Lytechinus pictus: one gene and its partner. The protein of the gene in region 1 binds, or shares a complex with, the protein of each later gene. Links are inferred from orthologs where the notes say so. Each region holds a gene or a part of one and is shown in the gene's direction. Other genes may lie near its edges. The genes, in order: N-alpha-acetyltransferase 35, NatC auxiliary subunit-like; N-alpha-acetyltransferase 30-like.

Region 1 (3,928 bases):
AGTTGTGGCCCGGAGTTGTTTGTTTTGTACAATGTTAAAAAAATTATCCTTAAAATAAATTAAAGAAGTCCCTGCAGCAGAGTCCCGAGAACACCTGTAATCTTACCAGATTGCGTAATCTTACATTATATCATATAAAATTACAGGAAATTGGTATTTGGTTATGGAACCTTACAAATTTCCTTAAATAAAACACCATTATCGCCTTTTTAAACAGAGCTGTTCTGTTAAATTGCAGAAAAATTCCTGTTTTATGAATTTACAGAATGATTCTGTTAATGCTTTCTGCAAAATTTTCTTTTTTTCTGTAAAATCAGGTTTTTTCAACAGTGTATAGTAGTCTTTATTATTAATTTGAATAACATTCATACGTACATGATCAAGAAAATATAAACAATTAATGATAATTGCAGCTGTAAAAACACAAATAAAATTACACTGTAATAATATATAGCAGACAATTTAAATTGTTTCGGAACAATGACATAATCCGAAATCATGCAAAAATAACATTTTAACAAGTCATATATGCAGCTAAAGCAATAAAAAACATAAATAACGTAACAGCTATATATACGCAAACTGAAAGAATTAATGTATGATGATTCTCCCGCGCCCCAAAGAGCACCCCCCCCCCCTCATCAGACCCCGAAGCTAAATAAACTAACATAACCAACACCAACAAACAGGAGAAATAGACAGAAAAACACCATACACATAAAGGGGAGTAAGAGAGAGCGAGAGAGAGAAAAAAACAAGCAAACAAAAGACATGTAGGGACAATTAACACAAAGAAAAAACAACAACAAACAAATCGACTCCATGATCGACTCCATGCGGGGCAGACGATCGAGGGGCACCCCTCCCTTCCCCATCCTTTTTATTTTGGTTATTGTTTAAAACCTTTGAATATTCCCATTTTTATAGTGTCGCGTTAACGTATTTCGCTCTAATGCAATTTTTTTTCTTCTTTGCTAATAAATAACTTTTATCTCTTCAGGAGATGGTGATTACCGACCCTTCCCCCTCCCTTGATATATTAAATTTTGATTAGCAAAATGATATGATAAAGTAATTGTAAGTTTTCAGTTGTTTCCTCGAGACCAATATGGATTTCCATCCAGCTAAGTTTTTTGAGAATGGGAAGGCTGAACAATAAAACTGATCCGTTCCCACAAATCTCCTTCTTTTTCACATTAAAAAATAAATGCTTGTATAGGTTTCTTCGTGTTTAATTGCTAAGAACATTTATCACTTGCTATAAAATGAAACCTGTATAAGTGATGATTCAGAAAGATGATATTGTATAACATTTTAAATTGAAATTCTCTCAATTTGTTATCCAACGCACTAACTCTAGGACGATAAAACGTTTTCTCAATTTCTTTATTTTTATAGAACGATGCATGCTAACTTATGAACTAACTGGTTGTTCGATCAGCAATTTGTTTTATACACCCTCTATACAGATTTTCAGAAGTGACCGAGTCGAATTTAATGTTTTTCTCATAAAAGACAAATTCAATATTCAAGCCGTCCACTGATTCACTGAAGTATTCCTTCTCAATTTGTCTTCCCAGTTGGATAGGTCCATAATTGTGAGATCTCAACGGGGCGGCCCTGGCCGGCCGTTAGACCGATACCGGACCGACTGCATATACGTATACCTTGACCGGCGATCGTAATGTAACGAATTGGCCGAATGGAGAGTTTATGTCAAGCCGCTGAAATGGAAGCGAGGTAACTTATTTCTTTTTGTAGTAAAGTTGTAGTTAATTCAATTTCAATTGCAGTTTTACAAGCATCTCTGAAATATCTTGAATTAGATCCAAGTTAAGTTTGGCTAGCATGAAAACTGTACTTAGTGTCACGCCGCTTCAGTTGAAAAATGTTCACAATAGTAGACAATACATTGTCCCACATATTGAGAATTTTGTCATGTGCTGCTGCATAAACCATTGTAAACTGCAGTCTGCAGAATATGCAGATATCAACCAGGCCTAAAATTTCGTAATTTTTAGGGCAGGGCTAGTTTGGCCTTGAAATACTTCATATTTTTTAAGGGCATCATTTGAATGATTTCCTCTCTCATATTTTCATGTAATTTTGTGACCATTCCATGGCACAGAATAAAAAGGAATCACTCTAAATAATTGTAAAAGGAAGGAAGGAAGGAAGAAAGAAAAGAAAGAAAGAAAAATATAAAGAAAGGGAAAAAGGAAAGGAAGGGAGGGTGAACGAATGGGTGAAAGAAAGAATGAAGGAGAGAAAGAAAAGAGATGAATGGAGAAGAAATAAAGAAAAATTAAGGGGGAAAATGAGGGAAAAGGTTAAAATAAAAATAAAAGGAAAGTAATGAAGGAAAGAAAAAAGTTTTCCTTCATTCTTTGAAATAAATGAAAAAAAGGGGGGGGGAAGAAAGGAAGGGAAGATGAATGAATGTTTGAAATAAAAAATAAAGGAGAGAAAGAAAAGAAAGAAAAAGAGTAAGAAAAAAAAAGGAGGATGAAAAAAGGAATGAAGGAAAGAGATATGTTTCCTTCATTCTTTGAAAGAAAGAAAGAAGAAAACAGGAAGGGAGGAAGGAAGGGAATAGCTAAAAAGAAAATAAAGAATGAAAGAAAGGATGAAAGAGAGGGAGAAAAGAATGGAGGAGAGAATGAAAAAAAAAAAATAACAGGAGAGAAAGAACAAAAAGATAGAGGACATGAAGGGAAAAGGAAGCAAACAAAATTTTCTAGCCATTGGCTAGAATCTCCTAAGGCCCTCTACAAAATAAATGCCATATTTCACACAGGTTTAAAAAGGTGGGAAAAAGGGCTTCATATCATTCGATAGGTTTTATAGAATTCTTTAAACCCATTTAACCAGTTGCATACTGGAACCAGATATAGGGACAGTGATTTTCGGTTTCAGCATGTCAGGAAATGGAAATTCCATTTCCCAATAGACTTTATGTACAGTATGGAAAATTGACAATTTAGTTTTACCCATTGAATAGCAATATCACAACACTCGCGCTGGTCAAAATTTGTATCTGCCACTGTACCAACAACCAAGCCTTGAAATAAGCAGCTGCAGACCAGGGGCAATTTTTCAAAAAAAATTGCCCCCGGCTCACGGGCTTTTTACAGGAACCGGGGGCAATTAAAAAAATATATATATAACGGTGAACCACACCGCAAATTTGTTTATAGTAAGCGCAGCTCCTGCAAGTTTTTAATTAGTACATGAATAACATGCTAAGTATTAGGCTTATTCAAACATTTAAGAAATCAGATTTAAATGTTTAAGTGTGTTTTGACCAGTGTTGTAGTCAAGGTTCAAACCTCCAAGGCCAAGGCTTTAATACCCAAGGCCAAGGCTTCAATCTCCAAGGCCAAGGCATGGAAACCCAAGGCCAAGGCATTTCAAACTTTCGATATATGGAACAATGAGCCAACAATGCTTAGGCGGCAGACACAGTGCAAAATGTATAAAAGGTGGGAGCGAGCGAGCGAACTGAGCGACCAAAAATTTTGACCCTTCAAGTAAAACAAAAATAATTTCCTGATAGATTTAGACATAATATCAAAGTAATAATACTTTTTTTTGCTAGGCGATTTACATTGCAATAATTAATATTACCACGGTCATCTGATCCTGATCCTAGCATGCCCATTCTCAACGTATGTCTTTCTCCACTCCCTGGGATAGGGGCGGCAGAACATATTTTTGTTTATTAAAGGGATGGTCCGGGCTGAAAATAAATAGAGTAAAATTCACAAAGCAAAATGCTGAAAATTTCTTCAAAATCGGATAACAAATAACGAAGTTATTGAATTTTAAGCTTTATCAATATTTTGTGAAAACAGTTATATGCACATCGTCATGAATATTCATTAGGTGGGCTGATGATGTCACATCTCCACTTTCCTTTTTCTTATGT
Region 2 (3,928 bases), on another chromosome or scaffold:
TCCCTCTGCTGTTTGGAAATGCTCTCAGATGATGCTAGCTGTGACATGAGAGTTAGACCTGTCCTATCCATTTTCAGAAGATTAAGCTAATAGTTTATAGTATTTATTATAACATTGAGGTGAGTGGCCTATCGCTGGAGAGAAAAGACACGACAACCTTGATTTAGATATAATGATGCATTAAATGCTGCTACTTAAGATAAAAATCATTTCAAATTATATACTTGATTTCATTTATTTTTTCAGTGCTTTTGGCAATGCATCGCAGTATATGAAAAAGTGTTATTTGGTTATCAACTTTTTTAACTTAATTTCCACTGGTATTTTGGAAAGGGCTCATTGACCTCTGACCCCTAAATACATTCTCCATGGCCGTCATTATTTCAGACCGAAATTATGAAACCTCCATGTTTTCATTACAAATAAGCCATGGTTATTTACATTATTTAGATATAAAATATGAACACAAAATATATTGTTTTTGGTTATTTTTATATCATATAGATTATATATTTCCTCTGATCTAGGATTTAAAGGGTGAAAGTTTATTCTTTATACTTATTTTAGTGTTGTTTAATCTTCTTGTACAAGTCTTTGGATTTTGGCACCAAGATCACCAACCTGCGGTGTTTTATCTCAGAGATACCATTATTATTATCTAAAAAGGACATTGACCTTTGTCGTTGAATTTTATGGGTGAATGTGCATTCTCGATGCTTAATTTTATTTTATCTTCCTGTAAGAATATGCGTGTTTTGACACCAAGAACACCAATCTGCACCGTTTTATCTTAGAGATACAATTATATAATATGGTATATGTAGTATAAAAGGTCATTGACCTTTGGCCTTAAATTTTATGCGTGAATGTGCATTCTAGGTACTTAATTTTATTCCATTTGATCTTCTGGTAAGAATCTGTGCATTTTGACACCATGATCACCAACCTGCGCCTTTCCATCTCAGAGATACCATTATACAGTATGTACGAAAAGGTCATTGACCTTTGACCTTGAAAAAAAGCACTTTCCCCAACCCGTATTCCTCCTAACTTTTTTTTGGTAAATGTTGACACCCATACCTACTCAAATCAGTCAAAAAACCATTTCCAATAATTTTATTCCAGATTGGCTCTTTTGGGGTCTAATTTAGGGATGCTAAAAGGGGAAGTAATTGTAATTGAATTTGAGAAATTGTAATTGACTTATATTACATTCAATTACTTTTGATTACATTCAATAAAAAAAAAGAAAAAAGGACCCTGGCTGGATGGAGGACATGGACAGAAGCCAGAGCTGTGGCCTCTGATAGGCAATGGTGGAGACGTTCGGTGGCCCGGGCCCTATGTGCCACTATAGGCATCTGGACTATAGGTAACAGGTAAGGTGACATTCAATTACATTACTTTATTACTTAATTTATTATTCAATTTACTCTGGATTGCTTTATTCCCTTAATTAGCTACTAGTGCTCTCTTCATGAAATTGTATCATTTTCCATGATAGGGAGAAAAGAGCTTAAAGAACTGCACAAAGTGGGTGGCGCTATACCTTGCGCTATACATACAAAATATTAATTGATCTGATTTATGACTTTCAAGTAATTAATTGTAATTGTAATTGACAAAAGTAATTAGTAATTGTAATTGAAAAAAATTGTAATTTAATTGAAAGGTAATTGTAATTGAACATTTCTTCAATTACGTAAGTGCAATTGCAATTGTAATTGAAGAAAGTAATTTAGCCCAACCCTGACCTTCACATCACCCTTTCCATCTTTTGCACCCTATAGCTACTCCTTTGATTGGGAACATTTTGGAGGTAATCGGTCCACTGCCTCCTTTGAATATTTTTACAGATAAATGGCGCTATACAATGATGTTCATCAGTAGCGTACGCAGGGGCCGATTGCCCGAAAGGGTCTTTCCAAGGACCGTCTTTCGTGTCGCCCATCTTTTATGATGCGCTATTAGCGGGGTGTTTCTGAAATTTATGATAAACAAATACAATTCGTAAGCTTGCTTTTAAATCAAATTTTATACAATTTTGTGAGATATCACATCATTTTATAAACAAATATTTTGTTTATTTTAACGGACGAATAAAATATGTTTGCAGATAATTTATTTGAAATGCGTTTCACATGGCGCATCATAAAAAATGGGCGACACGAAAGACGGTCCTTGCAAAGACCTTTTCGTGCAATCGGCCCCCAGGATTTTTGAAAGGGGATAGTTCAAGCTGAATGAAAAGTTTAAAAAAATATATATGAGGGAGGGGTTTTGAGTATCAAAAAAGTTAAAGGGGGTTTGAACACCTGTATCCCCCCCCCCCCCTGTGTACGCTACTGCTGTTCATCATCATCATAATCATTATCACTACCACCCCCCCCCCCCCCCACATCGCCTTGATTTTTGACTGATGCCCCGACTGATGCTTGAATTTTCTTGCAACATTATCAGCGCAGAGCATTTACCCGGTATGATAACACGTACGGTATACCGTATGTCATGTACGTGGTATATACGGTACTCCATCCCAGGCTTGAGCTTCTTTGAGCTGCAAAATGTATATGATATGACGGCAGCGCGAGCTAGGGGATCAATTTTTAGGTGCAAACTGATGTTTGATTTCTTCATGTTTTCTGGTGAGTTTACAGGTTTGTTTTGCGTTTTTCTTTCTGATACGTGATGTTGCTGTCGTTTGAGACCTGAGTCAGTGTTAATCAAAGTAAATTGTGGATCTATGTGAGTAAAGAATGAGTGTGAGGAATCCCAATCAAGATTGATGAAGTCGCGACACACAGCTGCACAGAGAGGTCTCGCTCAACAGATCGATAGGCCGTTTCTATTGCCAGTTCGTTCAACTTCCTAAGTATACAAGTTGAATAGGGGTATCACGATTCCTTGATATATGTAAGGGAATGGCACATGAGCCAAATCACTGGCTACTGTATATCTGTTGTCATCGCGATAAGTGTGAGTTAAATTGATGGTGTGTACTGTAGCCTATATGATGGGGTGTCCAAACTTCGCACACTTTTCAAAAATATTCATCAGGCTTAAATTTTTCACAAAATATTCATAATTTATAGTTTATACAAAACCAATTCAAGAAATAGTTACCACATTGACGGCAAGATCGTAAACTATAATATCATGGACGAAAATGTAAAGTAGGTCAAGGGGATTCGCCGGTATCGAGATCTCAAAATAATATTCTGATCGGCGAATGCGCGCTGTGCTGGAAAAGCGTTCAGAAAAAGTGTGACCTAACTTCGCGGACCTAAGTTTTTGTGGACATTTAAACAAAAACTCAAGCTCAAAAAGTGAAATATTTATATCAGATTGATGGCAAAATGCTATAGCCTATAGTCTAGAATCGGTTAGTACCACATTTAACTCACATTTTTGATGATTTCTGCTTGCAAAATGGTGATATCGACTATCGTGATGCTTGTTGAGAATATCAGATTTCTTCAAAACGGGCGCTAACGGTGACAAATTTGCCGATCTTTTGCTAATATTTTCATGAATACTGAACTCATCCTAAAGAAACTTACACCAAAAGGTAATTTTAGGTCGCTTTTCACGTTGATGATGTCAGATTTTAAGGATATTGGCTAGTTTTTTAGATGACCCTCCGCGAAGTATGGACACGCGCGAAGTTTGGACTCACTGCCATACTTCATGAATCAAGATTGATTCAGGAGCAGATTTAACAATTGATGAATTGAATGCACAAATCACTAATGAGGAGGTTGTTATTAATGTTATGATTAAGATTAGAGCTAATAAATAAGCATGATTCATGATAAGAAATAAGAATCATGAGAATACACTCAAAAACTTTTTTTTTTCATGTTTTTTACATTGATCTGTAAGTTATGGAATACCAAATGTTGATTTAGCATTTTAGGAGCAGATTTAA

Evidence for each region.
Region 2: the proteins of N-alpha-acetyltransferase 35, NatC auxiliary subunit-like (region 1) and N-alpha-acetyltransferase 30-like are in contact, whole or in part, in a cryo-EM structure (PDB 7MX2), measured with the Homo sapiens proteins. The link is inferred for Lytechinus pictus from reciprocal best matches to the Homo sapiens genes NAA35 and NAA30. Residues at the interface, in NP_001308810.1 of Homo sapiens: Leu45, Gly46, Leu48, Leu56, Ala59, Met60, Ala62, Glu64, Lys69, Glu121, Phe313, Pro314, Arg315, Ala444, Leu510, Glu511, Leu512, Glu517, Pro605, Lys606, Phe607, Glu608, Leu609, Asp610, Val614, Arg615, His618, Arg619; in NP_001011713.2 of Homo sapiens: Glu221, Pro238, Ser240, Tyr242, Thr243, Arg245, Tyr246, His249, Asn250, Lys304, Ile324, Glu334, Asn335, Leu336, Gly337, Val339, Arg340, Asp341, Lys342, Arg343, Phe345, Arg346, Tyr347, Tyr348, Leu349, Leu359, Trp360, Leu361, Arg362.

The regions. Positions count from the first base shown.
Region 1 is NC_087249.1:21,913,090-21,917,017, forward strand, and holds the start of N-alpha-acetyltransferase 35, NatC auxiliary subunit-like, read left to right. Parts: upstream 1-1,326; 5' UTR 1,327-1,702; coding exon 1,703-1,740; intron 1,741-3,928. UniProt on the Homo sapiens protein: Auxillary component of the N-terminal acetyltransferase C (NatC) complex which catalyzes acetylation of N-terminal methionine residues. N-terminal acetylation protects proteins from ubiquitination and degradation by the N-end rule pathway.
Region 2 is NC_087251.1:25,285,116-25,289,043, reverse strand, and holds the start of N-alpha-acetyltransferase 30-like, read left to right. Parts: upstream 1-1,282; 5' UTR 1,283-1,379; intron 1,380-2,401; exon of another isoform or gene 2,402-2,657; intron 2,658-2,750; exon of another isoform or gene 2,751-2,976; intron 2,977-3,928. UniProt on the Homo sapiens protein: Catalytic subunit of the N-terminal acetyltransferase C (NatC) complex. Catalyzes acetylation of the N-terminal methionine residues of peptides beginning with Met-Leu-Ala and Met-Leu-Gly.